Linked DNA regions of Astyanax mexicanus. The protein of the gene in region 1 interacts with the protein of each later gene in a biochemical or structural test. Links are inferred from orthologs where the notes say so. Each region holds a gene or a part of one and is shown on either strand. Other genes may lie near its edges. The genes, in order: esr1, grip1, mta1 and prmt2.

Region 1 (7,752 bases):
TGGAGAATTTCTATTGGTCCATTCATCAATACGTTTTGACACAGTGTAAGAGACCATTTGTGTGTTCAAATTATGTAGTAAACTAAAATTAGACAAAAATGGAGATGCTTGTTTTTCATTGGACAGCAATAAATACTCTGCAGGCTGCAGTCACATAACCTTAATATATTCAGAATTTTGCTTAGGTTGGATTTGGCAATCTTAAAGGCCTTGATGCTTCACATTTGTGAATATTAGTTCCACAGACTACAGATCTGTCTGCAGAGTAAATCTGTTTCTGAAACAACACAAATGCACATATAAGCTTAGGCACCTCGCCTCTGTTGTTTTGCCACCCTGGTGTGGTGTTATTCTGGAAAACGTTATAGTTACTCATTAACAGAAATGACAGAAATCACAAGCATGATCTGTTGTGCCCGTACTGCTGCATGACACGTGCTTGCAAAGAGTTTGAAAAACAAGAGATGACATCCACAAAACCCTGACAAAAAAAAAAAATCTGTGGATTTGAGTCACATGAGCCTGGTTATGCGATTGTAGGCTATATGAAAAGTGATTATGTGACTCAAATCCATAGGCTTTTGAACAGTAGTGTGTACACTAGTTAGGGCTTTCAAAGATTTAAATAAACTTTTATTTTGTGTTGAGTGCTGCTACAGTGTGGATAATCATTCATATGGATATGGATTAAAGCCTTAAGGATTGTTGGCTGCAGGGTTTTTCTGAATTATCAGGCATTTTGAAACAGAGAAATGTTTACTTAAGTTGTCACAGTGATCACGTAGTTACCATTGTAATATTGTAATGCAAAATTGGCTGAAACTGAAACTTAATAAATAAACTGAAATTCTCCATTGGGTTTTTTTTTCCGTACATTGTTTTTTTTTTTTTTTTCAGAGGGCTTTGGAAAATGTGCCTAAAAGGAATCTTGTGCTTTTGTCAGAGTTCTTTGTTTGTTAAAGTGTTTTGCTTTTGCTGACAGTTCATTAGTCAAACACTTAAATAAAAAAAATATGTTCTGCTCAGGCTTTGCTGTTATGAACACTTGAGACTTGATCCTAATACATAATAGGATCTTTAGTGAAAGGGAAAAAAATTAGCCAGCAAATGCAATATTTGTGCCAAGATTGGAACTCAAAGTAAATATGTGGTCTTGTACAAATATTTGAAAGTGTGAGTAAATGTCAAGTTGTCACTAAACACTTGTGAACAGGCTTTGGCATTTCTATGAGTGCTGAGCATTTCAGAGCAGTATTCTGTATAATTTTAATATTGTATATTGTTAGTGCTTCAGCTCATTACTAATTCTACTGAGTTACATTCAGAGGAGAGAATAAATTGAATAGTAACTAAATATCTCATACTAAAAGACTAGTTTGTAAGAGAAATAAATACAAACATATAAAATAGCTGAACCACGTTCTAAACACATAAAGTGTGTAGGCTGGTAAATGGTTGGTAAATGTTTTTCTGTTCATTTTTTTAACGACTGATATTTGGAACATATTGTGGTTCATATTGAGGCGCAAGACAAAGGGGATTTCCTCACCTCACTGTGACCTGGGTTATTGTGTAGTGAATACTAGTGTGAATAATTATAGTAACTTAACACTTAGTCAGAACAGTCAGCACCTGACCACATTAGTTTATTAGAAAGGAAATGCCACTGATGAGCAGTTTGACTGATGTAAATCATGAAAAAAATCATACTATTATAATCATTTTAAAATTATGCAAAACCAGGTTCTACAAAGTATAGAAAAACATTGTATTTCTTTCCTAAATAAACCTTAATGTTTAGTTGAGTGAACCATATTCTAAAAACGTGCCTTTGCTGTAAACAGATCTATAGTACAGTTCATTTTATGAACATTGAATTCAAGGTTCTCGTTTGTCCTCACTGAGTGAATGATTGAATGTTTATCTAGAATGTTTTTATCAGTAAATCAGGGTCATCTGTTTGAAATCTGGTCAAAGTAAATTGATAATGGGTTCCAGTTCATTATAATTAGCAAGTACTTCATGTACACAAATATTACTGCAGACATTAGTTTAATTCTGTATTAATGAGAAACTTTATTAAGCTATTTTGCTATTTTTTTATGTACTTTAAAGTAATTGCTTATTATGATATGCTTCACAATACAGGGGTTACAATTCTGTATGGCACAGTATATTGCAATACTTTAAGAGCGTTTTTACACTTTTTCTAACAAAAAAAATAAAATAAAATTAGTACCACATCTGGTACCAATTTTGGGCCGGTTTGGGAGAGGAGCTCATTGCCACTGGTTTGTTTTTACTGACCGTGGACCTTGATTGCACAATTCCATACATACCTTTGCTATTAAAAACGTTGGATATTGGAAACAACTACAGTGTTTTTGGGATGCGTGGATTTTTACTGTAAAGGTGATACTCCAAACAAGCTGCCTTTATTCATGATTTTTGTCCATCAACAAGAGTTTTATGCTGTCAGTATCCTCACTGACTCCACAAAGCTGAGATTATTACAGTAATAAAGTACCACCAGTCCTCACATTGTGCTTTATTAGCCTCAAAAGCAGCTTTCACATTTGTCCTGCAGGGAAAGCACATCCAGTTCTGGAAAAAGGCCAGTGTAAAAAGTGTCATAGTTTAAAATATAAACCATATATAAGCAATCAGAACAACACTAAATGATCCACGGATGATCTGACACCAGTCTTTAGTCTTAGTGATCATTATATACTGTGTGTGTTGTGCCTACATCCTTTTTTGTTACTAGTTTAAAAGTGCTAACTTACTTCACAGCTCTTGTAAAATAACAGGACTTGAGGGTCCCCAAGTCTACTAGTATCCCCATGTCAATCGACCTGGAAGGAGCTGTGTGTTTTACATTGACCTGACCTTTCATTTACACAGTGTACCGCTAAAACCGTTTTCATAACTGATTTTACACGATACTGTGTGGCTGTTTTTCCTATATCTACTAAAGTGCACAGTTACTCATCCTTTCCAGTCAAGCCTTTCCTAGTACGCCCTGTACCCCTGCTGCCTATCTCAGAACTCCTACTCACTTTCCACTTCATTCTTCTGTCTCTATTAGTAACCGCTTATATTAAATTGAGATATTGCCTCATAAATATCATACCAGAGCAATAAGACTCTTTTAGCTGCTTTTCTCTTTCTCATTATTGCCTGATGAGTAAAAACTCTAGATTTTGACCTTTTAAAGCTTTTTATATTGTTTGTTTCAGAATGTAATTAAATTTCCGATGGCAGAAAAGCACATTACCATGTTTTTCTTTCTTTCGCTGCATCCGTCACCTGTACGGCTGTTTGGCAGCTGAATGAAGTGCTGACCTCCTGTCTCTTGTTTACCTGGTTGCGATGACCTGCTCTGCTATCGACCGAGTCGTGTCTTTTAATTTGCCTCCTTTTTTAGAAAGAGAGAGATGCAGACTGAAAGAACGTTTCTAAGGGGAAAGATGTGCGTCTGTGACAAGATAATCACACTGCTGCACACTCTTAACATAAGCAGAATATTCAGTAAATTACTTATAATCACTTCATAAGTTTAATACAATATCTTCAAACGAGTATTACACTGTAAACATAGTTTGTTCTTTTATCCCTTATGTCCTTATATCCCTTATATCCCAAGCTCTTAAATGTAATTAAAAAACGTAAAACAATCAACCAATGTTTTACTCAGCGTTTATTTAATCATTCATAGTAGTTACTGAATAGTATTGTTTGCTAAATCTGTAGTAGATGCTGTATAAGTAATGAATATTGCTGAATATTATAATAATCAGCCTCTACCATCATTAATGCTGCAAGATCTTGGTGAAAAATTAATGCAACACTGGATTGAAATAAATCTTGTGACATTGCAGAAGATTATTGAAACAATACCACAGTGAATGCATGCTGCAATCTAAGCTAACAGCGCTCCAACAAAATATTAGAGTGTGTGATTTTTTTTGTGTGTCCAGGCAGTGTTTATTCCTTGCTTTATTGCTTCATAATTTCACATGCGTGCATTTGTCCACCCTGTTTTGGCAAGCTGCATGAGAGAGTGGAATATTTTAGTGAAAACATAGTGAAAATTTTATAAAAACCTGGATGACATAGAGTTGCAGACATTTTGAACTGTTTAAAAGATACATTTTGATTTTCTAAAATTATATATATATATATAAAAAATGAGCATGATATTTTATACAGACAGGGTGAACATATTAAGCTTTACCACAAATACATTTAGAGACAATATAAGACACATTGAGCGGAAAATAGTATGCTAAATACTAAAATAAATGTGTTTTATTCATGATTTAACCATGTAAATGCACTGCAGATAAAGAAAACTGCATATAATATATTAAAAGTACTTTAAATTGAAGGTAAATATTATTATGCTTTTGTAATAATCTGTAATGAGTAAATAAGTAAAACAAATTATTGTTACATAGTGTTTGCATGATATTTAAACATATATGTTGTGAATACAAATGGCACATTATGTTGATATTGACAAAATTACATTTATAATTTCTTACAAACCTATTTCAGTATTATTTCAGTAATATGCTTATTACTTGCATATTAAACTAGGTATGAGAGACTGTGCTTGAATAAGTAGTGACTAAGAGTAAAAGAGGGAGGGGCTAGTGGAAGAGGAAGGGTAGGGGAAAGAGAAAGAGAAAAATCCCTTTCTCTTAGTCAGAGTGTGAGAGCAGCTGGTGCTGTAAGTCATGCTGCCTGTGAGTGTGTGTGTGTGTGTGTGTGTGTGTGTGTTTGTGTGGTGATGTCTAGTGAGCAGGCGCATGCTGAGGCTGCTGGTGGCAGCAGGCAGCGGCGCAGGAGCAACTCGAGACGAGGCAGTGAGCTGGAGCTGGAGCTGACCCCCAAAGTTTCCCCCATGTACCCAGAGGAGGGGGGCATCTCCTCCACTGTCCACTTCCTGGATGGAGCTTATGAGTACCACAACCCAGCCTCCGGCGTCGGATCATCCCCTGTGGGCTTTTACCCACCGCCTCCGGACCCCCAGCTGCCCCTGGCCGAAGAAACTCTTCAGTCTCTGGCCAGTGGGTCGGCCAGTCCACTGGTGTTTGTGTCCTCCAGCCCCCAGCCACCCACCTATCTGACTCACGCTGGGGGTCAGCAACAGGTGCCCTACTACCTGGAGCCTTCGGCCAGCTCTGTCTACAGGTCAGAATGACTTTAAACTATCTTTAAATGTATCATTCTGTTTCATCTCTGCAGGTCACACAGTATAAAAATGAGTGCTCATTGTTTTTAGTCATTTTGTTAAATGACAATGAATCTATATAAAGCACAACATGGCTTTTCCAGCTCTGCTGTCTTGTGTATGTTTGGTGAATTTACAATGTTTGATTCTTTGTCCTCAAGCACACCTTATTTATCTCTTGTGGTTAGTTACCACATTCAGTAGATGAGATTGAGCAGGAAAAGCAGCAACTGTGCTGGACAGCATTGATGTACAGCTACTATAAGGGCCCTTAAAAGGCTATTAGAATAAGAATTACATTAAGGATGCTAATACTATTCCTACTGATAACAAACTAAGTTCAAAATTTGTTTCAATATCCACACATAGAGCGATACAAAGTTGGTTAATATTTCTTTATGATTTGAAATAAGTGAAATGTTAGATGTGCAGTTCTGTTCTGAGGAAACATCAACAATAAAAAAAAACATTCTCTATATTTTGCCCATGTTTGTGTCATCAATAAAACACAGAAAATGAAAGTAAAGAAAGAACCTGCAAATTATAGTTATACATTCTCAATAAATTCACATTTAAGTAGGATTAGTAGTTGCTGTAACTATTAGTAGTTAAATGTATTTTAAAACAGAACAAGTGATTTGTATTTATAATAAGCAGGAAATAAAACCCACTGTGTGCATCTTCACATTCTTTGTCAGTACTACAAAGAACAGAACAAGTGACTTGTTACTCTTTTCCTGTAAATTGTGTTAATGTGTGTGGCTATGTGTGTGTGTGTGTGTATGTGTGTTAAAGACCTGAGATGAAAGATAAAGCTTCCTTACGCTTCAATTACGGCTCACTGAAGCACTGACTATCTGAGAGTCTGAATGAGCCATGTTTAGTCTGCACTCAGAAAAACAGATGTTACCTATTAAACCTACAGCATATTTACAAGAATTATTCATAGTGCATTAATTGTGGGAGGCATTCCTATTGATGCCATTATCCCTTTTTTACTAGCACTTTATTTATGTATATTCTAAATACCCCTTTTAAACAAAAAGGTTTCAGTTCTGTGTAGCACCTTAAAACGTGTTCTTAAGAGAGACTTTTTAGTTTTTTGGTGCTAAAAGTATTTTTAAAGTTCCCAGTAGAACAGCTTTTATCTTCATTAACTTTACAGAACAGCTTTTCAATGGAAAGAAACACTTCTTATAAGTATCCCAGTAGTGTATGGTCTGTACGAGCTCAGAGCTAATTTTGTTTTTAAACCTTGAGAAAAGAACTATTTGTGCAAATAACAGGAGTGCACAGAGATTATCACGTCCTCTTTGAAGGAAAAAATAAAACGACGGAGATGTTCCTTGATAAGTAGGGTTAATGGTGAATTCTGAGAAATTTAGCATATATATTTCCTTGTAATTTTTTTTTACTAGAATCCAGACACTTATTCTAATTATGTGAATGATCTACTTTAAGGTGCACACAATGCTGATACTGGTGTGCATATCGTCGCTGTCCAATAAAAAACTAGTAGCTCCATTTTTGTCGATTTTTAGTTTACTGCATAATTTGAACAGACAAATTGTCCCTTACACTGTGCCAAAATTTATTGATGAACAGACCAACAGAAATACATAAAATGTTGCAGTTTTGGAGATACTTGTTTTTCATTGAACAGCGATGATATACAGCTTGTATATAAGATTAACAGAAAAGCAATACTTGTGGGATTGGGCCCATCAGAGCAGACACACATTAATATTAAATATTAGTCATTCAACATCAGTGCTTGATCCTCAAATTCTCACAGGACTGTCACAGCCAACTATAATACTCTTGATTTCCAGAAAAATTGGATGGAAAGGGACAATTGGATTTGGACATGCAACATCTCATACAGAGTTAAAGTGTAAACATATGTTATTACAGTATTTTCTTATCAGAAAGAAAATAAACAGGATCTAGTGTACATCAAACAATGAGCCATAAAACCCAGTGAGCTGATTATGTGAGTGTTTTTCAGTGATGGTGGTCCAATCTGTCTCAGATGTTACGCAGTAGTTTGATGAACAACAGAATTAAGCTTAAAACAAACATTTACTTACACTAGAACAAGAGGTCAGAGGTGAACAGCGCCCATCTTGTGTGACCCTACTCGATGTCACGTACACAATACAGATGTGCTCAGAGTGTAGTTTAGTTGAATTACATTATCCTTTAAAAGTAAAAAAAAACAAAAAAAAAACAATTTGGCTGGTTACACATGTATGAAATAATATGTATATATGCAAAATGGACATGTATCACAAAATGAATAAGAACCTATCAAGAAAATAAAAAATGTGTCCAGAATGATGAGCTGAGCTGTACATGAACTGCATGAAAAATCTGTAGAATATCAAGAATTGAATTAACATTCAGTAAAATTACAATTAAATTACCCAAAATTGTTAACAGAATGCATTTTTTAAACTATGGTTTTGAAGCTGGAGTGTCAAACCCATTTACATAAAGGGCCATCATCTCTT
Region 2 (8,000 bases), on another chromosome or scaffold:
TCAGCAGTGCAATTTTAGTCCTACATTTAACTCAGCAGTTCAGTTTTGGTTATTCATTTACCTCAGCAATTCAGTTTTAGATCAAAGTTTTGCTCAACTGTGCAGTTTTCGTCCTACATTTACATCAAAAGTGCAGTTTTAGTCATACAATTACCTCAGCAGTTCGGTTTTGGTCCTATATTTATCTCAGCAGTGCAGTTTTAATGCTGCATTTAATTCAGCAGCGCAGTTTTAATCCTGCATTTCCCCTTAGCAGTGCACTTTTAGTTTTACTTTTACCTCAGCAGTTCAGTTTTGGTCTAAAATAAACTATGATTTATATAAATAATATGACTGAAATAAACAAGTCATTGTTGAATACAAAGTACTCAGTCTTCTTACTTATTCAGTTTAACCTAGTATGTGCCTTTTTTTTACACAGTTTTACAAAGTTTTGTTATCTTCAGACGAATATATTCTGTGTAATCCTATCAATAACCTACGAAATTGCGTTGTTTATATTGATTACGTAAAATTGTCGGTTAGTGGTTCTGAATGTCAGTTTAAATTAATTTCGGGGTAAATGCTCATCTCAAACTGTTTCTTTAAGATGAGTAGAGCCTGTCTTTATCTGTTCTGGCATGTTAAGTGACTCATATACTGCTGCCACAGCGTTTGCTGCACAAATATAAATGTAATTATTGGCAAAGCATGAAAAAGATGAGATGCAGGCGATATTTTGGGGTTGGTGCTCAAAGTGGCGCACGAGCAAGAGCGGGAAGAGTGAAGATGGCACAGGAAGCAGTGAAGTGAAGAGAAATGAGAGAGACAAGGAGGAGGAGAGAGTGTGCAGGAGAACGAGAGAGAGAGAGAGAGAGAGAGAGAGAGAAAGAGAGAGAGAGAGACGAGTGCAAGACGAGCTTGTTGGCAGAAGATCAAATTTTTAAGCTGTGCCCTACTGCAGTGGTTTATCTGAAACAATCTTCAGAGAGAAGCATACCTGGAACGGCGCCATGATTTCCACGATTCCTAAGCATTCCTAAGACCACTGCTCACTACTGTGCTCGACTGAACACGGAGATGATGGTGAGCTTAAGAGCTCAGAAGAAGATTCTTCATTTCAAATACACTCAAACCTCATCCCTCAGGCTTTAGTCCGACCCTACAGTTGCTGTAGATGTAGACTCTACTACTTCCGTGTAACCTTTCACTACACGCAAAAGAGAGCATGGTGCTCCACGAATCACGACGGAGCTGCGCAATTCTACAGCCGTGCAGCTCAGTCAATTCCCAGTAGCATGCGTGCATGCGCAAGTCTAGGCTTTTCTGCTAGCGCTAATCAATAGCGGCTCTGTGGAGTGGCTTGATTGCAGCAGGTGGCAGACAGATTGGACGAACTCGTCCGTGTCCCCCGGTGGTTCTCTACCAACTTTCAAGGGATTCGCCGCCGCAGCCCTGAAGGCTGAGCTGTCTTGTGCTCCCTTATGTTTGCCATAATCTCCTGCAACAGTTCCAGACTGGAACAGATTCTCGCCTCGTGGAAGAGCAATGAGATGTAGAGGTTTTTAATCGTTAGACATGTTCCAAATCTCAATGTAAAAGTCTCAGTTTAGTTAATTAAAGGTTTATAATAAATTGAAGTAAAAATTCATCTCCATTAATTGACATTTTCCACTTTTTTTCCCTCCGTTTTCTCCCCAATGTACACAGCCAATTACCTAACCCACTCATTAAGACTCTAAGACGATGCCCCAACACCAGGAGAGAGAAGACTAGCACATGCCTCCTCTGATACATGTGAATTGGAGGAAAGAGCAGTGACTCGGTTCTAATACATCAGCTAACAGATGCCTCATGCTGATCGACATCACCCTTTAGAGTCATGTGGGGAAAGATCGCTATCTACCCACCCGAGAGAGAGAGAGCAAGGCCAATTGTTGTTGTGCTCTCTCAAGGCTCTCACCGGTAGCCGATAGCAAGCTACATGAACAGGTTTCGAACCGGAAATCTACTGATCACAGTGGCAGCGTTTTCAAAAGTTTTTCCTCTTACCTTGTAAAGTTTATATAGTGAAAGCTTTGTGCATTGCAGTGTGTCAAATACAAAATGTTGCCTTGGAAACTGATTTAATTGATTGAAGGACAAATATGCCAATACCATTACCTTAATACCATTCCATAGTGTTTATTCTTGTTGTCATATTCTTGTGTAATATATTCAAACTCAATTTAGACAAAGACAATGTATGTGTCAGTCCTGACGCTGTCTGTCTGCCTGCTCAAGATTGTCCTCTAAAGACTCAACTTGCCAGCATGCACCCACAATGGACTTCCATGACTCCACTGATTACATGATGCTATGGTGTTCCTGCTCTCCTAGCTACTAATTGGTTCCACCTGTCCTCCCTAGTATATATACCCCTCAATTTGCACAGTTCAGTCCTAAGTAATGTAGGATACATTGCTGTTTTTCCTACTTTGATATTGACCCTTTTTTTTTAAATCACTGTTTATAGTCTTTTGCCTTGCCCATTTTGTTGATTACCCGTAGCCAAATGTTTTTGTAATAGCAGGGGTATGAATGATTTTGTAAGCAAATGCTCTTTGTTTGTTATTTTCCAACAAGATCCAAAAAATGGATCCCAAAAAAAGTTTTTTGATAGTAATTATCTCCTTTTGTATTTTTTGGTTCCATTTTTTCTAAATTCAAAAAAAAAAAAAAAAAAGAGAAAATAACTATTAAACATGTTTTTGTATATTATATTGTTGTCTGTTTGTATATTTGTGTTGCCATATACTGTACAGTATCCTTGATGTTACATTAGCGTCTCGATCTGCTGGATTAAATGTGATAATCCATGCCGTGCCCATGGGGGGAGAGATTAAACTGGCTCCTCGTTTTTTCACAAAAGAACAAAGAGAGACCACCCCCACACACTCCACATTCTGTCTACCTCAAAACACACACCTCAAGAGCTCATGCGAACAGGTTCTGTCGAGCGAGCTGCCGGCATGTTCTTGCATGAGCGGATGTTTTTTTTGAGGCTGGTTTGTTTGTCTCCTGTGTTGTTTGCGTCTGAGCTGGGAATGTGGGCTAGAAAGCCCACCCCCGACCCCCCTGAACACGGACATCCGGGGTCCTGCATTAGTCACAGCTGCTGGGAGAATATTGTAGGGTATTGTAGGCTTCAGGTCGGAAAATGACAAGGTGAAAACCTGTGTTTTTGAGCTGGTTCTTGTTTTTGAAGGCAGCCGGGTACAGCTCTGTTCCACATCAAGGAGAAGCAATGCCTTTCTAAAACACTGTAAAACAAAGAAGCGAGACCACCACCAGCAGCAGCAAGTCTGGCAGGCTGCACACTCCCAGTTCACCATGTGGGTCACTGTCACGCGCTGCTTGACTGCTGGCAGAAGCTGAGGTGTCATTGGTGGAAATCAGCCCAATTAACACGTACCGCTCTGGAACGCTAATGCTATTAGCGGCTCAGTCCGTGTTTGGGGTGGCTGGAGATGGGGCTAGGGCTGGAACTCCTGCTGGTGGAGGGTGCTGTAATGTAATCCCCTCATGCTTTTGTTTGTTTGGCAATGCGAACCACTCCAACACCCACCCGCTCCAGCTTGTCTGAGTGCATCATCTCCTGTGCTGCAGCACCTCTAAAAATGGGCTTTTGGAGGGAAAAAAAACATATGTTTAGAGCTGACTTAAAAGAATACTTACTTTTTAAGCACTGCAGCTTTAAGTTACAAGCTATAGTACTATTCACGAGTGGGGAGGGAAATCTATGTTCTCTTTTCTGGTAGTTGTTTTTTTTTGACAAGAATAACATTGGCTGGTAACCTGAGCAAATATTGGCACTGAGAATGGCATTGATACCAGAGCAAATGCAAACATTTTAGAGATATCAAAACTTCAAATGTAAACTTTTAAACCTTCTCGTACATGCATTTTTAAACCGAAAAAACTGATCTGACAATCTAAAAATTAATTTTTAGAAAATCTGCACGTTTAGTAAAACACATTCTTGTTTGTTTAGTGTTGAAACAGCTTAGCATGAAGCAGAAAGAGCATTAGTTCATAGTTACAGTAGTTAATTGTCTGGATAATAAATCAGGTTAAACTGCACCTGAACAGCTTATCAGTTTATCTCAAATAAAAGGAGTATTTTTGATTGTCGAGTCAGATAGAGAACGGATCACATTCTTGTTTGGAACCGGTCTGAAATTATCTCCTCTAGGGGGTCTCGGTATGGTTGTTTTGGTCTGCACCAGAGTTTTATTACTGTTTTCACACCTGCTAAAAAAAAACGAACCGCACCAGAGTGTGTTTTAACTGGAGCAAATAGTGCTGGTGTGAAAACACCCTTAGTTAGCTGTGCTCTTACGATGATGGATTCCTTTGTTCTCGTAAATTGTGCAAATCTCAAATATAGAAGTAGTGGGGAATGTTGGAAAAGGTCTAGTGAGTTTATTTACAATGCATCTCAGAATGCGATGATTGACATTTCTCAGACTCCATTGCATTGAAAGAATAAATATCAACTTCAGCTGGTTAAAAATCAACTTTACACAATTCTACTCTGACCACAGATTAACCCAGGCAGGGGGTGGGGTGCAAAAATGCAGAAATGCACAAATTCTTTCTTCAAAGGATTCTTTTAAATTATAGGACATCATCTGGAATTCCTTCAGTCTTTATTGCCCGCATTCTTGGAGGCACGCAAAATACCACCTTGTGCAGCTTCTCCACCTTCCTCAGGCTTTTTAGCTTTTGGCAAATCAGGGGGAAAGCAGGGGGAAGGGTGGGCAGTGAAGTGGCAGCATAAACCCACAGCTCAGGGATTCCTCGCCTGGCTGCCGGGTCCTTTGAACTTTGTGTCTCTCGCTCTCTTTTGCTGTGAAGGAATAAGCAGAAGAACAAGCCGGCCTCTCCTCTGTATGTGTACGAGTCCCCACCTCCCTCCCTCTCTCTCTCTCTCTCGCTCCTCATTCCCCACACTCCACAATGCGCACACACCCTCTTTGGCTCTCGCACGCACTGACACACACACAATGGACTACTCAGCAGGCGGCGAGTGCTGAAGGCTGGGCAGAGGGAGCCGGGCTGGACGGGGTCTATTCTCTCGGAAGAGTCGGCCAGGTCCGCAGGAGCTGATATTTGACCCATTCCCTATCGTTTTATACCCCCTCCTCCCTCCTCGCCTCCTCTGCTGCTCCCTGCCTTCTTCTTTCTTCAGTCTTTAGGAGATCACTCGCTTTCTCTTTTCAGCAGCTCTTTGTGCAGCGGAATACACTCTCACATCGCTGCTGCCGCTACTACTGCCGCCACCGCTGCCAAGACTACCGCTGCTGCTGTCGCTGCTACTACTACCGCTACTGCTGCTCCAGCTGCCGCTGATTCTTCTGCCTCTTCTGCCTCTGCCTCTGACTGCTGCTGCCACTGGAGCAGGAGGAGGAGTGCGGCAGTTTTGCGTGTAGATCGCTGGAATGGAACGCTTCCTTGGCTTTGTAAAGCAAATTCGCAGGTCCCGCAGACGCAAGGGCAAAAAGTACCGGCCCGAAGAGGATTACCACGAGGGCTATGAGGATGTGTATTACTACGCTTCCGAGCACCTGCACAGTAAGTGGTCCTGCTTGACTGAATGCCATCCCGGGGACTGTGCAGGGGTCCGGCAAGGGATCCTGCCCCCACAGATCTGTTTTATTGTTTTACCATCAGTGTGAATCATTAGCCTTGAGCTGGCAATAAGAGAGAGGCAGGCAGGCAGGCGGGCAGGTGGGATGGTTAGTCGGGGTGGGTGGTTGGAAAGGAGGGACTGACTTTGTTTCGGGGGGCAAATCGAGAGGCTTATGCGCAGCTTGTGAAGCCCTGTGGAGTGTGGCCAGGTCGCAGGGCGATAATGGATGTGATAATGTCTCAATGTCTCAAGTTGCCTGTTGTCACAAACACGTGTATGTGTGTGTGTGTATACACACGTTTGCGTCGGTGTGCCTGTGGCTGCAGTAAAGAGCGTGTCCTGCCAGTCTTGATAAATGGCATGTATCGGATAACGCTTATTTCTATTGATTGAGCGTGAATGGTTTGTCAGAGAAGGTCTCGGAGCGAACTGTGTGTGTGCGCACATGTGGTCAGTCCCGGCCATGTGCAGGCCACCTTAATGCCTTAGTGTTGCACCACCTAAAGGTTTGGTTGGTTAGTTGGTTGGTTAGTTGGTTGGTTTGGATGCTTGTTTGCTTTCTGCCCTTGTCTTAAATGAGGTAGGAAGATAGATAGAAAGGTAGGTAGGTGTGTTTGTGTTGTCACCCCTCCCCCGCCGTTGCTGACATGCTGCTTCGCCCTAAAGGCACGTTGTTCTCAGGTGACGTGTGTGGTGTGTGTGTCTGTGTGTGTGTGAGAGTGTGTAGCGGCTTGTTTAAAAATACAGCAGCCGTCTGCCCGTCTTCCGTCACCTACTTTCATCTATTATGAAGCAGCACTCTCTTCGTGCCCCCGGAAGAGAAGCGTTTGTCTCCTGCCTCCTGCAGTCGTTCATTAGCTGTTCTTAGCTTAGTGCTTCCATTACTTCCATTACGTACAGCTGTGGAACTCAGCTGATCGCAGCTCTGCGTTGAGAAGCAGGTTTTATCTATTAAACTACTAAGCTGTGTACTTCTTCCCTCAAGCAGTTCCCCCTAACTAGTGACCTCAAGGTTGTAAATGGAATGACAGGCAAGGGAGCAAAGGGAGGCCTGTCATCTACATTCCTTCCCTCCTTACTTTGCTGAGTAAGAGAGATGGAATGACCTGGAGTCAGACCCAGAACAGATGTACGGAACCTTGCTCTGGTGCCGTAGCCCTCCTGGCTTGCTGGGTTAGCATTCAGAACCAGCACTGAGTTGTTTTCAGGGTTTTCTCCTTAACAGTCCACAGAGCACAGAGTAGAGCGAGTGAAGGCCTTTGACATTCAGGAAGGTCTGGAATGTCTGTATTTTCATACCTTAGGATTAAGCAGTTGCTTGAATTTTGATGTTGTGGTTTGTGGCCTCACGTCGGGACCCCAAACCCGTAGAGCCACCATGTTCTTGTTGTTCCCTGCGACTCTTTGTTACTCACCCAGCCTGAGAATTGAATGGATGATGACTGGCTTAATTGATTGCACAACTCGAGTCATGTTTTATTCTACAGCGCATGCTGTTTAATGTGCACAGAACCATTAATTAAATAGGAGCTTTTTTCATTAGCGGATGGTTACGACTGTGATTTTTTGCCTGATGGCGGAAACCGGCTCTCTCGGTAGTCTCGCTCTTGCATGCATGCGTTTAGTCAGATATTCGCTTTGATGTGCAATCGCAAAAGCTCAGCTCTGCAACATAAAATTAGACACCTAATTGGCCCAGCTGGAGTCCAAGTGAGTCAGACACAGGAAGTGGGGGAATAAATGGCATTGGGAAGAGTTTTTAGATATGGGGACCTATCCGACATGGAGATGTTTAAACCTGAGTCTCTCAAGTTTGTTGGTATGCGAGTCTAGAAGGCCACAATTAGGCCTGAGATGACAGTAGATCTTGCTAAAAAGCCAGACTTACAGCTGTGGCTCGACGCATCCCGGAGCGCACAGTGGCAACCCACGCTAATTAACTTCTGTGACCGAAAAAAACTGTAAATGTCACACTTGGTCACTGAGCCTACCCTCATCTGTGCTTCAGAGCCCCTCCTCTCTGCATCATTTATATCAACCTCATGCATAATTCATGCTGAGGTTGTAGTCTGCCCATTCCTGTACATTCATCAAACTCCTACTTGTGTGAGACCCTGCCATTTGCCTTCTAATGGGATTCATCCGTCTGCAGTCCCCATCCTCCCCTGGCTTGGGGGACGTGTACACTTTTGGGTTTTGAAAAATGATTCATTTCACCACGACAATAAGGAAGACTCGGGCAGGGCATGCTCACTCATAAATCTGGGAAATGAGGAACAGCGGAGCGCCAAAAAGGAGGATAAAGAGAAGCTTTGTGGCTTTCAATTCCTGCCATTTGTTTTCCTGC
Region 3 (7,281 bases), on another chromosome or scaffold:
TTTTATTCATTGTTCATTTTTCTCCCTCTCTTCATCTTCATCCTCTCGAGTAGGAAGGATAGTTGAATCTGAAACACACACAGATTAAATCAGTTTAGCTTGGTCATTAAACAAATATAATATAAATTCTGAACAACATAAAAGTCTTACCATCCTGGCTGGTTAGCTAGCTATTTAATAAAACTAAATAAAATGGTCAGATTTTGGTTATAATTTATTAATGTGATTTTTGGCAACCAGTCTGTCTGTCTGTTGAAAAGCCTCTCTGATATCAGCAGCCTTTTTCCTCAGATGAGTTTATACAGACTGATCAGTATTAAGTTAAAACTGCCCCAGCTCCTCAGAACTGCAGCAGTATACAGGGCTGTAGTGAGTTAGTAAACGCTGGTGCTGCAGAACAGAAGATTAATAAAGAGTTGTGATAAGTTTAATAACTCTAGCTAAGCTAACTGATCTCAGTAGCACAGGGCTAACGCTGCTCAGTAAAGCAGTTCAGATACGAAAATAAAGATGTTCTGTCTGCAACAGCATTAATAACAAACCCACACCCCTATAACTCGCTACTTTAACTTAAACTAACCCTCATAAATCTTTCATTTACAGCCTAATATCACAAACAACCAAAACAGTTTATATATCTGAATCTCCTCACCTCATAAACTTCTCTCTCTCTCCACTCCTCTCCTCCGCCGCTCACTGACGGGTCACTCAGCTCAGCGCGGCTCCCGGTGGATTGTGGGAAATATTAGCGGGTGAAGTGTGCTGGGCTTGTATACTTAAAAATGTCTCCCGGTGCAGTACGTCATCCGGGAACTTTTCGCGTACTCAAACTCGCCTACTGCGCATTCGGACACACTACCCGATCTCGCATACTGCTTTTGCATACTGTTTAGTATGGAAGTACGCGATTTCGGACGCAGCCCACAGTATCTAAGCTCCTACCAAAATTTGAGAAGATCAGACAAATTGTGACACATCCACAGCTAATTTATTAAACGAATGAATTAGGGGGCGCTATAGAGTCCGCTAGCTACACATGAAAAAATTATCACAATATTTGTAAAGTGTTTTTAGATCTTATGGAATCTGACAATTTTCAAGAGTTTTTGAGCATTTCCGTAATGTCAAATATGCATTGAAACCTAGGTGGCGCTATAGAGCCAATGAAATATGTATATATGAAATTTCAATTTTTAATCAAAGGACCGCTTAAATCAAGCAGGCCTGTAAAGTTTCGTGAGTGTTCAACCTGTTTAACCTCCTCAAACACCTACCAACACCAGAATGTATTTACTTCCTATTTTAATGGGGTATCTCCAGCAATTCAACTGTCCGCCATTTCGTCCCCGTTTAAGATATCGACTATTCCTTCGCAATTTATCATCACGGATGGTAGTAGTTTATTGCTGACAAATATCAAGAGTATTCAACAAATTCCCTAGGAGGAGTTCGACAAAGTATGCAAAAAATGTGTGTAAAATGCATGTTTTTCAAAATGGCCGACTTCCTGTTGGGCGGAGTCAATCATATCAACACTGAAAATGTGTGTAATGATGTCTTTTATGTTTTTGCCAAGTTTCATGAATTTCCAAGCAGCAGTATTCTGACCATGCTAATGTTTCTATTTGGTTTAGTGTTGTGTCTCCATTAAATCAATTGCCCGCCATTACGTCATCGTTTCAGCTATCGACTATTCCTTCGCAATTTAGCACCATGTATGTCTGGAGACTATCCACAGACCATTTAGTTGTAATCTGACAAAGACTCTAGGAGGAGTTCGAATGAGTATGTGAAAAATGTTTAAAAAATTAACATTTTTCAAAATGGCCGACTTCCTGTTGGGCGGAGCTAATACATGCCAATGGGTATTATGTGTGGCATCGTAATATCTATGTTTCTACCAAAAATTTTGAACATTGGGGAAAATTTGAGACAGCTACCGCTAATTTATTAGCCTAAACCAAATAGGGGGCGCTGTAGAGTCATTTAGCACCACATTAGAAAAATGATTACATTTCTCGAAATCATTTAAAGGCATTATTGGGTCTGCTAATTTAGAAGAGGCTAAGAGCTTTCTATAAATGTCATATAAAATAGGTGGCGCTAGAGAGCTGATAAATTATGAATATGAAAAATTCCAATTTTACATCAAAGTACATCCTATGCCCAATAGGCCTGTGAAATTTTATGAGTTTTCGAACATCGTAACCCACCCAAAACACCACGGGAAACTTTTTATTTTGTGACTTCCTGCCAAAATGGCTGACTTCCTGTTAGGCGGAGTCAAATAAATCCAAGTGATTCTTGATCGGTATAATGAGGTCAATGAGCGTACCAAAGTTGGTGCACATTGGACAAACTTTATCCCGGCCACTGGCAACGTTTGGGGGCGCTATAGAGCTCCTGATCCACGCCCAAACCTGTGAACAATGTAATTTAAAATTTTTCACCGGCTTTGACGTCTGTGCCAAAATGCAAGAGTTTTCGAGTATCGGAAAGGCCTCAAAAATGGGCGCGAAGTTTGTAAATAAAAATAATAATAAACGGACCAAAAACAATAGGGCTTTGCACCTCCGGTGCAGGCTTCGCCTGCGCCTTCGGTGCTCGGGCCCTAATTAAAAGCCTTACTGACTGCAGTGTGCCAGTGTTAGGAAATTAAGAGTTCTGGGAGGAGGCGGGCTGGAATTTTTAGAACACACGTCAAAAACACAGCAAAACAGCCTACCATTGGAAAGTCTATGAATGACTTTTGCCTTTATTTACACCATGCTAGTGTCCCTTAAAGGGATATGTGATATCAGGTGAGCCACGCACAAACTCACGTCAACCACAGTGCCACCAGTCACTAGTTATACTGGTCTGAAACCAATAGATCAAGGCTTTCAGTCCTTAAAACTTAAAGAAAAAACTAAAACAAAATCAAAAATCAATTTACTGATGGTCAGTGATGGTTTGGAGAGCCATGCCATCTGCTGGTTTTGGTCCACTGTGTTATATCAAGTCCAAAGTCAGCACTTGATGCTCTCCTCTGCTGACTACTTTTATGGAGATGCAGATTTGATTTTTTTGACTTGGTACACTGCCCACACTGCCACAAAAAAATTTGAGATGCTGTTTTTTGTTTTATAGACTGTAAGCCATGATAAAAAAATAAACGCTTATAATAGATCAATCTATTTGTAATACGTCTATATAATATGAGTTTGACATTTTGAACTGAATTACTGAAATAAATTATTTTTTAATTCTATTCTATTTTTTTTTTTACCTTTTTTACTTAAAAACTGCTAGTATTGAACCACTACTAACTACTCCTAACTTCCCCCCTGAGTATGGGCCTGTGGACCACTGAAGAATGCTTCTAAAGGGAAATGTGATATCAGGTGAGCTACAGGCCAACCCTTAAACCTCAACAGAGTTGCCAGGTTTGCGGTTTTCCCGCCAAATTGGGCTTGTTTGAAAATCCAGTCGCGGGTGAAAATTCAGTGGTGGCGGCTGCCAAAAACGTCAACACGGTGGGCAAACATGTAGAGGTTGACACTAAAATCAATCTTCCTTGATTAACAACAACCATAAGAATGAGGAGAACATAACGACATAAGGGAGGACAGCAGGAGAGAGAGAGTAACCAGAATGTAACCAGACGTAAAAACCACAGAGTAACCAGAAATCACAAGGCGATGAAAAAAAAAATGTTAAAGAAGAGAAAAGAAAGTTCAGGAGGGGCAAGAACAGAAATTAGTAAGTAAGTAAATTATTATTTTTGCTAACTATGTTACTATCAAATGTTATGGACTTTGATATAAACTGTTATAAGATAACTAATAAAACATTAATGTTTCAAAATTATTAATGACTTTAAGATAAATAGCAATCCTGATAATAAACACCTTGTAAAAAAAATCAAACAAAGTCGTACACTCATAGTTGTTCTGACATTTGCTTCAAACGTGTGACAGACAGATATTTTGGGCTAGTTCAAGCTTCTGATTTTGGGCTGGATATTTTTGTTGGACCTGGCAACATTAGTGGCACTGTAACCGTTGGAACTGGAACTGTTCTGTAGAATACAGTCAGCTAGCGTTAACTAGGTTAGGTTTTCGTTTTTGTGTTGAAGAGAGAGAGGGATGGAGGGCTGTTAGGGAGATGGTGGGGTGTTGTAGGGCTCGGGAGGGAGAGCTGAGGGGGGGTTCCAATCTGAAAGCAACAGTTGTTTACTTTGTTATTTTGCCTCTAGTGGGTCTGAAGTTGTACAACAGCGATTGTTTCGGTATTTCCGAGGGAGGCGGAGACTGAGCTGGACGGTGATGCTCGCGGTCTCCACCTCCTCCGCCTCTCCTCCTCTCTCCTCCCTCGAGTCTCTCCTGACCGCCAGCCCGCTTTCTCCCTCCCTCCGGCCGCCCCGCTTTGTTTTCGCGCTCTTACCGAGTCCCTCAGCTGCTCTGTCCCGGCGCGAGTCTCCGAGTAGCGCGGTGAAGCAGAGTAGTGAAAATGGGCGCACTGTCTCTTTAAGATCCCCTGACTGCTCCGCTTCGTATTGATCAATCCACCATTTTCCAACACACTCAGCGGCGGAGGCAGTGCTCGCGACGGCGTGAGGAAGCCCTACCTGGAGCCACCAGGACGCGGGGCAGTCATGGCAGCCAACATGTACCGGGTCGGAGGTAGAGAGCACGTTTTCTGCCTGTCTGTGTCTCTGTGTTGGTGTATGTTTATCCCTCCCCTGAGCGGCGGCCTCGGGTATATACAGCGTTATAGAGCTAGTTACAGTTCAGAGCCCAGAGCTGGAGCAGCTCTCCGTGTCCTTCCTCTTTATTTCCTAAAGCTGGAGTAGAGAGAGCCTCATGCTCTGTGACCAAAGGAGGATGAAGATGATGATGAGGAGCGGGATAAAGATGAAGAGTCTAACTAACGCTAGCTGCTTTCAAACCCCCTCCAAAATGTGTCGTTTAGCTAACTTACTTTCTTAAAACTGGAGTATTCTAGCTTAGCTAACCTAAACATAGGTTAGTAACTTAGTATTTACAGTGAGTTTAGCTAGGTTTACTAGTTAATTAACGCCAACTAACTAACCTAGCTAGCAGCTCTGCAGTCCTATACCCCACCAGCAAACAGCCAAAGCTCATAATTCCCCCAGAACTGAAGCTTTTTACTTAAGTTTTCAAGTTTTTAAAGAAACCTCACATATCATGTAGCATGTTTAAAAAAAGCTGACTAGCTTAGCTCATAGCTTAGTTGCCAAGTAACGGGTGAGTTAACCAGCTAACTATCCAGACATACGTAACTTAGCTATGGGTTAGCTAGCTTAGCCTAATTACTTAACGTTAATACTAACGTTAATTACTTCTCAGCCACAAGAAGTAACGTTAGGGAACGTTTGGTTGAGCATGGAAGTAAAAAAAAAACTATCAGACAGTAGAAAAGCTACGAACTGGAGTACTTTACCGCTGTTAACCTGTTCCTGAACGAGGAGGTAAACAGAGAGAAGTGAGCCGTGGTGGAAACGTGAGTCCGTCCTTAATTAGTTAACTAACGCTGGTCAGGTTAAGTTAACCTAGCCTTCTTGTGTGAAGTAGTACGTTAGTTAAGTTACATATAATTATAAAATAAAAGTATTGAATAGTTCAATTTTTTCAATTGCTTTGAAGCAGGGGTGGGCGATAACAGTTAACGTTATATAACTAAAATAATATCACAATATTTCGGTGTATTTTTGCGATAAAGATATTCTTGGCGATATGACAAAACATTGATTTTTATTAAATAATAATTTTAGCAACATAGTTACTACTACAACAAAATAGATATTAAAGTTTTATTTAGTCTAAGCAAAAAATATATAAACAATTGTCTGATTCGTAAAACAGAGCCTGGTTTTGTAAAAGAAAAAAAAAAGGTGTAATAAAAGTAAAGTAATGGAACTAACACAAATATACCACAAAACTAAAGTGCAGCATATGTAGTGCATATAAACTGTAACCATTAAAATACTCGCTGTTTTAAATCCCGTTCATGCAGCTTGCCATCAGCTACAGGAGCCCTGAGAGAGCAGGGCTCTCCTTGCTCGCTCTGTGGGTAGATGGAGCTCTTTCCCCACATCACTCCAAAGGGTGATGTTGATCAGCACAATTGTCACAGATATTATTGTGAAAAATTATATATTGTCTTTATAGAAAACAACCATTGATATATTCAGCATATAATGGTACAATCATAAAATAACACCCTTTTAGAGAACCATACACTTTTAAAATGAATAATAGTCTAGGAGAGAAGTGTGTTTTCCAGCAATTCGCAAGTTTAAAAGTTTGCCCTATATGTTTTAGTCCTGTTTTTATTGAGTAAATACAGTGGTTGGTATCAAGAACAGCAGAACTTAATAAAGTCAAGAACATATAATTATGGTGACAGATGTAATGAATACCATAAGTAAATTCAGTGAAGACTTTTTAAAGCCTAGAATGATGTTGTGAGCAGAAGAAATTAAGTCAATTTCGAATCCCTCTGTAATATTTTGTAGCCATTTATTATACTAAATTACGTGTCAAAAACAAGTTGGTAGTTTTCTGAGAATGTAAACTTCCCAATTTAGCTTTTTTAAAGTTAAATTGGGATACAGTTTAGCAGTTGAGTAGTGGAACATGTCATCAGTTAAGACTGTCTTTTTCCACCTCAGTCTTGGGGGAGACCCCCTACCCTGCCAAATATGGCACGAGTCTTCCTCTTACAGTTCATTGTGGTCCGGTTTCTGTCTCTTGAAGTTTTTGATAGTGAGCTAGCTTTGTATGTGTTTTTTGTCATATGTAGTGAATTGGAGATGATGCTCAATTATACGTTATATAAAAACATTTTCACAGTACACAGTATTTATCATCTTTTGACATAAAAAAAAAATCAGTATCAGATTCTGCTGTTCAAATACTCTTTCATGAATGACGATGAATTTTATTGTATTTTTGCGGCGCATCATCTAATCTAACTGAATTTTCTTAAAGTATGTTGTCCATGCAATAAGAAAATTTATGACAATATGATAAAATTAATATAAATATTTATGTATAAAATGGGGACTAATTAAACAGTGTTTGGCTGTACAGAATTTTAGAAGGATATCTTTCTTTAAAAAGTAAATAAAGACTTATTCTTGGTTAAAATGTTTGCAGACTTGCTAGTCCAAATGAATTTTTTTCAAATAACTAAGTGAATCAGTTTGCTGCAGTAACAGCCTATACTCTTTCAACCTATACTCTTAAGTCTTTACATGAGAGATTGCAACATTGC
Region 4 (7,002 bases), on another chromosome or scaffold:
GCCCCACACCGCGGCTTATCCGCTGCGTAAGCAGGCTAGGAGGCTGCTGCTGCACGGTTTCTCCGCTGCGCAAGCCAGCCCAGTAAATTGCTGTTTGTGTTTTCACACTTAGGCTATTTGCTTAAAAAAACAAACAAAAAAAACGTTTGTTCAGGAAGTATTTTATATTCTTAAACATTGTTAATTATATTAGAGGACAGTCATTGTAAACTGTACTTGGTCTATTTCGGTTAAAGGATTGTGCAGGGCATATTACTGATTTTGTATTTTTGCACTTGGGCTATAAGCTCAATATTAAATATTTTGTTTGTTTAGAAATTATTTTATATTTTTAAACCATGTTAAATTATATTAGAGTAGAGGAAAGTCATTGTTAATGACGTTATTGTACTTGGTCTATTTCGGTTTAAGCATTGTGCAGGGCATAGCCGTATTACTGATTTTGTATTTTTGCACTTGGGCTATAAGCTCAATATTAAATATTTCGTTTGCTTAGAAATTATTTTATATTTTTAAACCATTTTAAATTATATTAGATAAGAGGAAATTCGTTCAGACATCATTTTTGTAGGCCAGGCTTTTGTAACCGATTTAGCCCCTACTGTTGCCACATTACCTCTTACGTTTTATTATATAAATCAGTTTCGAAGAGCCTGCATTTTTTTTTATCATGTATAATAGAGGTCTGCGCGAGACTGATTTTTAAACCCACTCTTCCACGCTCCCGCGTTTCTGTCTCGTTACCGCTCCGCAAAAAAATTGCTTCTTTTAATCCCGCGCCCGCCCGCCACATACACATTTCTGCCGCTCCCGCCCCACGTTCCTAATATAAATTAAATAAACTACATTTAATGCTTCAAATCTACTTATATATTTATTAAAACAGCAGCGCTGAATAGTGTGGTCCCGTTCCTTACCCCAGTCCAAACACCATCGGTGTGTGCGTGTGTGTGTCGGTCCATCCTGCGCGTTGAGAGTTTTCTTTAGGTTTTTTTTTTTTTTTTACAATTATTACAGTTTTCTTAACTATTTATTAATTTGCTCCCGCATCGTCTGGATTAAACCCCCGCTCCAGCCAATAACAGTTCAGCTCTGTCCCGCGCGCAAGATATTCTGACGGGACCCGCGAAAACAGAAGTGGTTAGAGTGAGGTGGAACTCTGGAAAGGAGAAAAAAAACGAATATCCGAATACCAAAATTAAAAACCGAATACCTACTCAACGAACGAATATCCGAATACCCGAATATTCGGGTCCAGCCCTAGTAATTTGAACATTTTTTTGTCTGTTTGTGATTGGTTTATGTGTATCGTGTGTGATACTACATAAAGAAAATGAGTTCCAGTCCTAAAATAGCTTTGCCAGTTTGTTTAAGTAATTTTATGGGATGCAATAGATAATAAAAAATAAAAGGGAAAAATAAATCAAAGTTCAAAAGTTTTCAAAGAGAAGCTCCAGAGTTCAACCTTGACTACTGTCTTCTGCTCAGTGTTTTATACCAAATCTATCAGATCTCAGCACACAGTTCTACTAAACACGTGTGAGAGTTAAGCTTCTAGGTCGCCTTACCCTCTTACAGCAGCCTGTTTTAAAATTAAAACCGGCTCTGTGTGTTTTTGTCCATTAAACTTGCACAGACAGCACTCTGGAACTCACACACATCTCCAATAGACAACAAATCACTGATTTAATATACAGAAACTATACTGATTCCACTGAAAAGGCCTTAAAGGAGAACTCTGGTGTAAAATAGAATTTTGTTGTAGTAAAACATGATAAAAAGTACTTATCTTTGATGAATAGCACACCTCCGTTCTCCCACAGCGTTCTGAGATCCAGAAATTTTAACAGTTTGTCCAAACACCCTTTAGACTGGGTGATCAGGGGCATAATTTGCCCCGATAACTCGCTTTTTACACCGTTATCCAGCTCAAAGTAGCTCCACACCTCCTTGCTAGAATCCAGAGAGCCCTGACATTTGAAACGAGACATTAATAACTTAAAAAGTGCACAAGAAGCTAATTAAAAACTTTTATAAAGCTTTTAGCTCTGAGCGCCTCCATCACTGTACTGATAAACATAGATATACATAGACTCCACATAGCATAGCAGCCAGCGCCATTGGGCAGGCTATGCGAAGTCTATGTGTGTATATATATATACAGTATATATATATATATATATATATATATATATATATATATATATATATATATATATATATATATATATATATATATATTTATGTTATTAGCGCAGATGGATTCTTACCCATGGTTAAATATGAATCACCCAAAGAAAAGGAACCAGAGATCATGCTAATACTGGATAAATACTGGATAATATATTGATTATGCTAAATTGCTAATTGATTCAGGTAAAATACCGATTATTCATTTAATTGACAATTGAACATAATAAACTATAAAAAACTCCATATTCTTTTAAATTGATCTAGTGGTATTTTCTAATCTTTAACATTTTTTTTTTTTTTTTTGAAGAATATATTTTCAGAACCTGTTGAGTTGTGACGGATCTCTGTTCAGTGAAAAAATAAAATTTAGTTGTAATATTTTAAGGGTTGTTTGTTTGTGTGTCATTGAGTTTGTTATCAAGTCTGTCCACCCATTCAGAATTTATGTAATATACTTCATGAAAATACATTTTAAATATACTTTCACTGTATTTCCATAAATGTATTTTAAGCAAATATATGTAGTGACATTAAAAACCGATTAAACACTGCGTTACTTAAATCTTCTTAAGTTTGTAGAAGCTTTTATGTTGTATTTAAATATAGCTTAATTACAACTAACATATACTTAAGTTGCCGTAAGTACAATTAGTATGTATTTAAGTACTTTTCCATGTTAACCATACTTTAAAAAAATACCAACTTAAAATGCACTTTTCTTTTACAAGGGTAAGTGCATTTTTCTTGCAAATAAAAGTAACATATCTGCTATTTATTTATTAAAATATAGATTAAACATATTATATTGTGGAAATATATTGTAAGGCACTTAACACATATAAAACACGTAAACACCTCTTGCAGCTCTGCTGAATCATGACTAACCTTCACCCTTCATCTTATAAGATAAGAAAAGATTCTTTATTCATCCCACAGCGGGGAAATTTGCAACATTACAGCAGTGCAAAGGACAGAACAGAGGTGTCAGAAAAAATACAACAGTATAACACACAAAAATACAAGAAAACATAACTATACTGAAAAATATATATATATCTAAAATCTGGTTCTCCAGTGTGTATATTCTACAATAACCAGTGATCACAGTTATTGTACACAGGCTGACATAAATAAATGGCAAATAAATAGTACATAATTGGTGGTATTGCACATATTATTGGTGAATTTAGCTATTGCACATGGTAATTAAACAGTTTTATTGCACATAGTAAGAAAAAGTGCAAATAGTGAACTGCTGTTTACTGAGCGCAGCACCTGTTATACAGTCTGACATGTATATCATATGATACGATCACTATTATGATTTTATTTTTATTTTATTATATGTTTAAAATAAAAACACTTCAAATATCAAAATGTTTGTGTTCAGCAAACAACAACAAACTAAAACTAAAATATGAACAGCAAAATGATTTGTCCCACTAAAAACCATTACAGCCTTAAAACTATTTGTTACATGACAATCAGACTAGCTATACATAAGTTTTTTACACACCTTTTCTCATTCAATGTGTTTTCTTAGGGTTTGTTTAAATTATTTTTTACATTGTAATTTTAATATTAAAGACTATATTAAAGCTATACAGGAACATGCAAAATTAATGTGGAGGACTAAACACATTTTTACTGTTTACTACGTAGTTTAATATGTGTCTCTTAATTGTTTTCATGTCTTTAATATTAATCTAAAATATAGAATTAAATGAAAATATTTAATTTAATATGTTTATTCTGGGTGCTGCAGTTCCGCTGCCTGCCTGTAGGGGGGAGTAAAGAGCGCGCGTGTCCGGTTCAGCTCCGCTTCCGGTTTCGGTTTCCCCTCTGTTTGGGGAGAGAGAGGTTTAATTTGTTTGTTTGTCGGTCTGTCTGTCTGTCTGCTTTTTTGTCTGTCTATCTGTCTGTCTGTCTGTCTGTTGGAAATGAATGGGGATGAAAGCGGAGAGAGTAACCCGGAGCCGGAGGAGTTTATAGCGTTAGAGGACTTTACCGGCAGCGGAGCAGAGCAGGTCTGTTACACCAGCCTCACAATTCCACCTTAAATATCTAACGCTAGCTAATGTTGCGTCTCAGCCTGTTCCACCTTAAATAGTTAGTTATAGGGACAGTTTTCCAGAGAGGGGTTCAAAGTAGTCTGGGAAAATGTTCCCTAATGTTTATATCTGGTCCTTTTCCACCTTAAATAACTAGTTAATGTTTTTTTATGTGAGACTGTTCCACCTTAAATATAACTATTGATTGTAATTGAGGCTGTAATAAAATCTGTCTTAGCGTTTCGCGTTTCTCTTTCGCGTTAAATATCTAGCTATGTTTAGCTAGCTAATCTGAAGCTTTTCCACCTTAACTGATGTTTTTTAATCTGAGACTGTTCCCCCTTAAATAGTTATGGGGCAGTTTCCATGGAGGGGTTCAGTTCAATCTGGTAACCTTTTCCACCTTAACTTACTAACGTTTATATCTGAAACTGTTCCACCTTAAAAATCTAATTAATGTTTACATCTGGAGCTTTTCCACCTTAACTGACTAACTAAATTGTTTTATACGAAACTGTTCCACCTTAAAATGTAACTAATGTTTATATCAGAAGCTTTTCCACCTTAACTAATGTTTATATCTGAAGCTTTCCCACTTTAAATAATGTTTATATCTGAGACTGTTCCACCCTAAATGACGCTATATGTCTTAGACTGTTCCACAGTTTGAGACTGTTTCACCTTAAATATCTAAATAATATTTATATCTGAATCTTTTGTGAGGCTTCCACCTTAAATATCTAGCGAATGTTTATAACTCAGACTGTTCTACCATAAATATCTATATAATATTTACATCTGTGGATTTTCCACACTAATTAATGCTTATATCCTGACTGTTCCACCTTAAATATCTATTTACCATTTACATCTGAAGCTTTTGCACAGTAATTAACGTTTATATATAAACGGTTCCACCTGAAGTATCTATATAATATTTATATCTGAATATTTTGTGACGCCTCCACCTTAAATATCTAGCGAATTTTAATATATCTCAGACTGTTCCACCTTAAATATCTATATAATATTTATATCTGAAGCGTTTCCACACTAAATAATAGACTTTTATGTATACTGTTCCACCTTAAATATCGACACAATATTTATATCTGAAGCGTTTCCACACTAAATAATAGACTTTTATGTATACTGTTCCACCTTAAATATCTATACAATATTTATATCTGAAGCTTTTCCACACTAACTAATTAATGCTTAATCTAGGCTGTTCCCCCTTTAATATCTAGCTAATGTTTACGTCTGAAGCTTTTTCACATTAACTAAATATTTGAGACTCTTCCACCTTAAAAAATCTACCCCAATATTTCCAAAGGTATTTAGACAACACTTCATATGGGTGTGCTCAACTACTAATTTTAGGTGTTCTGAATGTGTGAAAGTGTTACTCTGACTCTGGATCTCCTCACAGCTCAGTTTTGCAGTTGGAGACCGGATCCTGATCCATGATCAGAGCTGTGCTGATTGGTGGTGGGCGGAGGTGGAGGGCCGTTATGGGTATGTACCCTCCGGCTACCTGCACCACCCGGATGCTGAGGTGGAGGACGGCTGGCAGGATGAGGAGTATTTTGGAAGTTATGGAACTTTGGTAAGTGTTTGACTTTTGGGGAGTGTCCTGTTTTATTATGGTGTTTGGTATTAAAGTGATAGTTTGGTAAGAAATCATTTTACCATTAAACAATATGGCTGCCTTAAAGTTGTGTTGGAAATATCGTATTTACGAGAAAAGCACACATGATCTTCTCCACCGACTTGAATTTAACTGTAGGAAACTCATTGCAGTCTATTTTATAAAGATGTACATTAAATCACACATAAAGGAATCATTTGCGTACATGCTGCTGATACTTAAGATATATATATTTTATTTTAGCCAGTGCCCTAATTTCCGACTGTTACTGTATATGGTTATTCTTTGTATGTCCTCGATTATTTATTTATTCTTCTTTTACAATGACACTTTAAGAACAACCTTAAATTTGGTAAAACGCTCAATCTGAAGGAACTTTAAAACTGAGAAATTTCTTTAAAATAAAGAAGAATGTAAAAATTTCACAAAAACAACGTTTTTTAGGACAAAAATTCGTCCTAAAGGTGAAAGTGTCATAAACTGAATTGTACAATCCAGGAATGTTAAAGAATCGTCTCCACAGAGCTCTCCAGACTTCCTCTGAACGTTATCTGTGTTTTCGGCCAATTCTGCCTCCCTGTTTTGTGTCTATAGAAACTTCACCTGGAGATGCTGTCGGACAGACCACGTACAGAGACGTACCGGCAGGTCATCCTGAGCAACAGCACCGCCCTGAGGGGGAAAGTGGTGATGGATCTGGGCTGCGGCACCGGCATCATCAGTCTGTTCTGTGGGCGTCTAGCAGAACCTGCAGCGGTAAATACGTACACAGCAGGACATTAACACACAGGAACGTTATCAGAAATCAATATTTGGTGGAATAATAAACTGTTTTTATTCACAGTTTTCATGCATCTTGGCATGTTCTCCTCCACCAGTCTTACACACTGCTTTTGGATAACTTGCCTTTATTCCTGGTGCAAAAAATTAAGCAGTTCAGTTTGGTTTGATTGCTTGTGATCGTCCATAAACGTAGCAAAACAAAACAAAACAAAAAGCCCATTATATTATTTTTCCTCTGTCTGATCACAGTTTTATCATCACTTTTATGATAAACACAATAGATAATAATTATAAGAGAATAATATATAATATAATAATAATAAT

Evidence for each region.
Region 2: the proteins of esr1 (region 1) and grip1 form a complex in vitro, tested with the Homo sapiens proteins (2 studies listed by BioGRID and IntAct). The link is inferred for Astyanax mexicanus from reciprocal best matches to the Homo sapiens genes ESR1 and GRIP1.
Region 3: the proteins of esr1 (region 1) and mta1 form a complex in vitro, tested with the Homo sapiens proteins (4 studies listed by BioGRID). The link is inferred for Astyanax mexicanus from reciprocal best matches to the Homo sapiens genes ESR1 and MTA1.
Region 4: the proteins of esr1 (region 1) and prmt2 form a complex in vitro, tested with the Homo sapiens proteins (2 studies listed by BioGRID and IntAct). The link is inferred for Astyanax mexicanus from reciprocal best matches to the Homo sapiens genes ESR1 and PRMT2.

What each region holds. Positions count from the first base shown.
Region 1 is NC_064408.1:79,147,823-79,155,574, forward strand, and holds the start of esr1 (estrogen receptor), read left to right. Parts: upstream 1-4,736; 5' UTR 4,737-4,795; coding exon 4,796-5,199; intron 5,200-7,752.
Region 2 is NC_064409.1:11,298,507-11,306,506, reverse strand, and holds the start of grip1 (glutamate receptor-interacting protein 1), read left to right. Parts: upstream 1-4,991; 5' UTR 4,992-5,462; coding exon 5,463-5,595; intron 5,596-8,000. UniProt on the Homo sapiens protein: May play a role as a localized scaffold for the assembly of a multiprotein signaling complex and as mediator of the trafficking of its binding partners at specific subcellular location in neurons.
Region 3 is NC_064421.1:24,341,200-24,348,480, reverse strand, and holds the start of mta1 (metastasis-associated protein MTA1), read left to right. Parts: upstream 1-4,278; 5' UTR 4,279-4,636; coding exon 4,637-4,664; intron 4,665-5,303; exon of another isoform or gene 5,304-5,505; intron 5,506-7,281. UniProt on the Homo sapiens protein: Transcriptional coregulator which can act as both a transcriptional corepressor and coactivator. Acts as a component of the histone deacetylase NuRD complex which participates in the remodeling of chromatin.
Region 4 is NC_064418.1:45,908,790-45,915,791, forward strand, and holds the start of prmt2 (protein arginine N-methyltransferase 2), read left to right. Parts: upstream 1-3,999; 5' UTR 4,000-4,133; coding exon 4,134-4,220; intron 4,221-5,676; coding exon 5,677-5,853; intron 5,854-6,489; coding exon 6,490-6,651; intron 6,652-7,002. UniProt on the Homo sapiens protein: Arginine methyltransferase that methylates the guanidino nitrogens of arginyl residues in proteins such as STAT3, FBL, histone H4. Acts as a coactivator (with NCOA2) of the androgen receptor (AR)-mediated transactivation.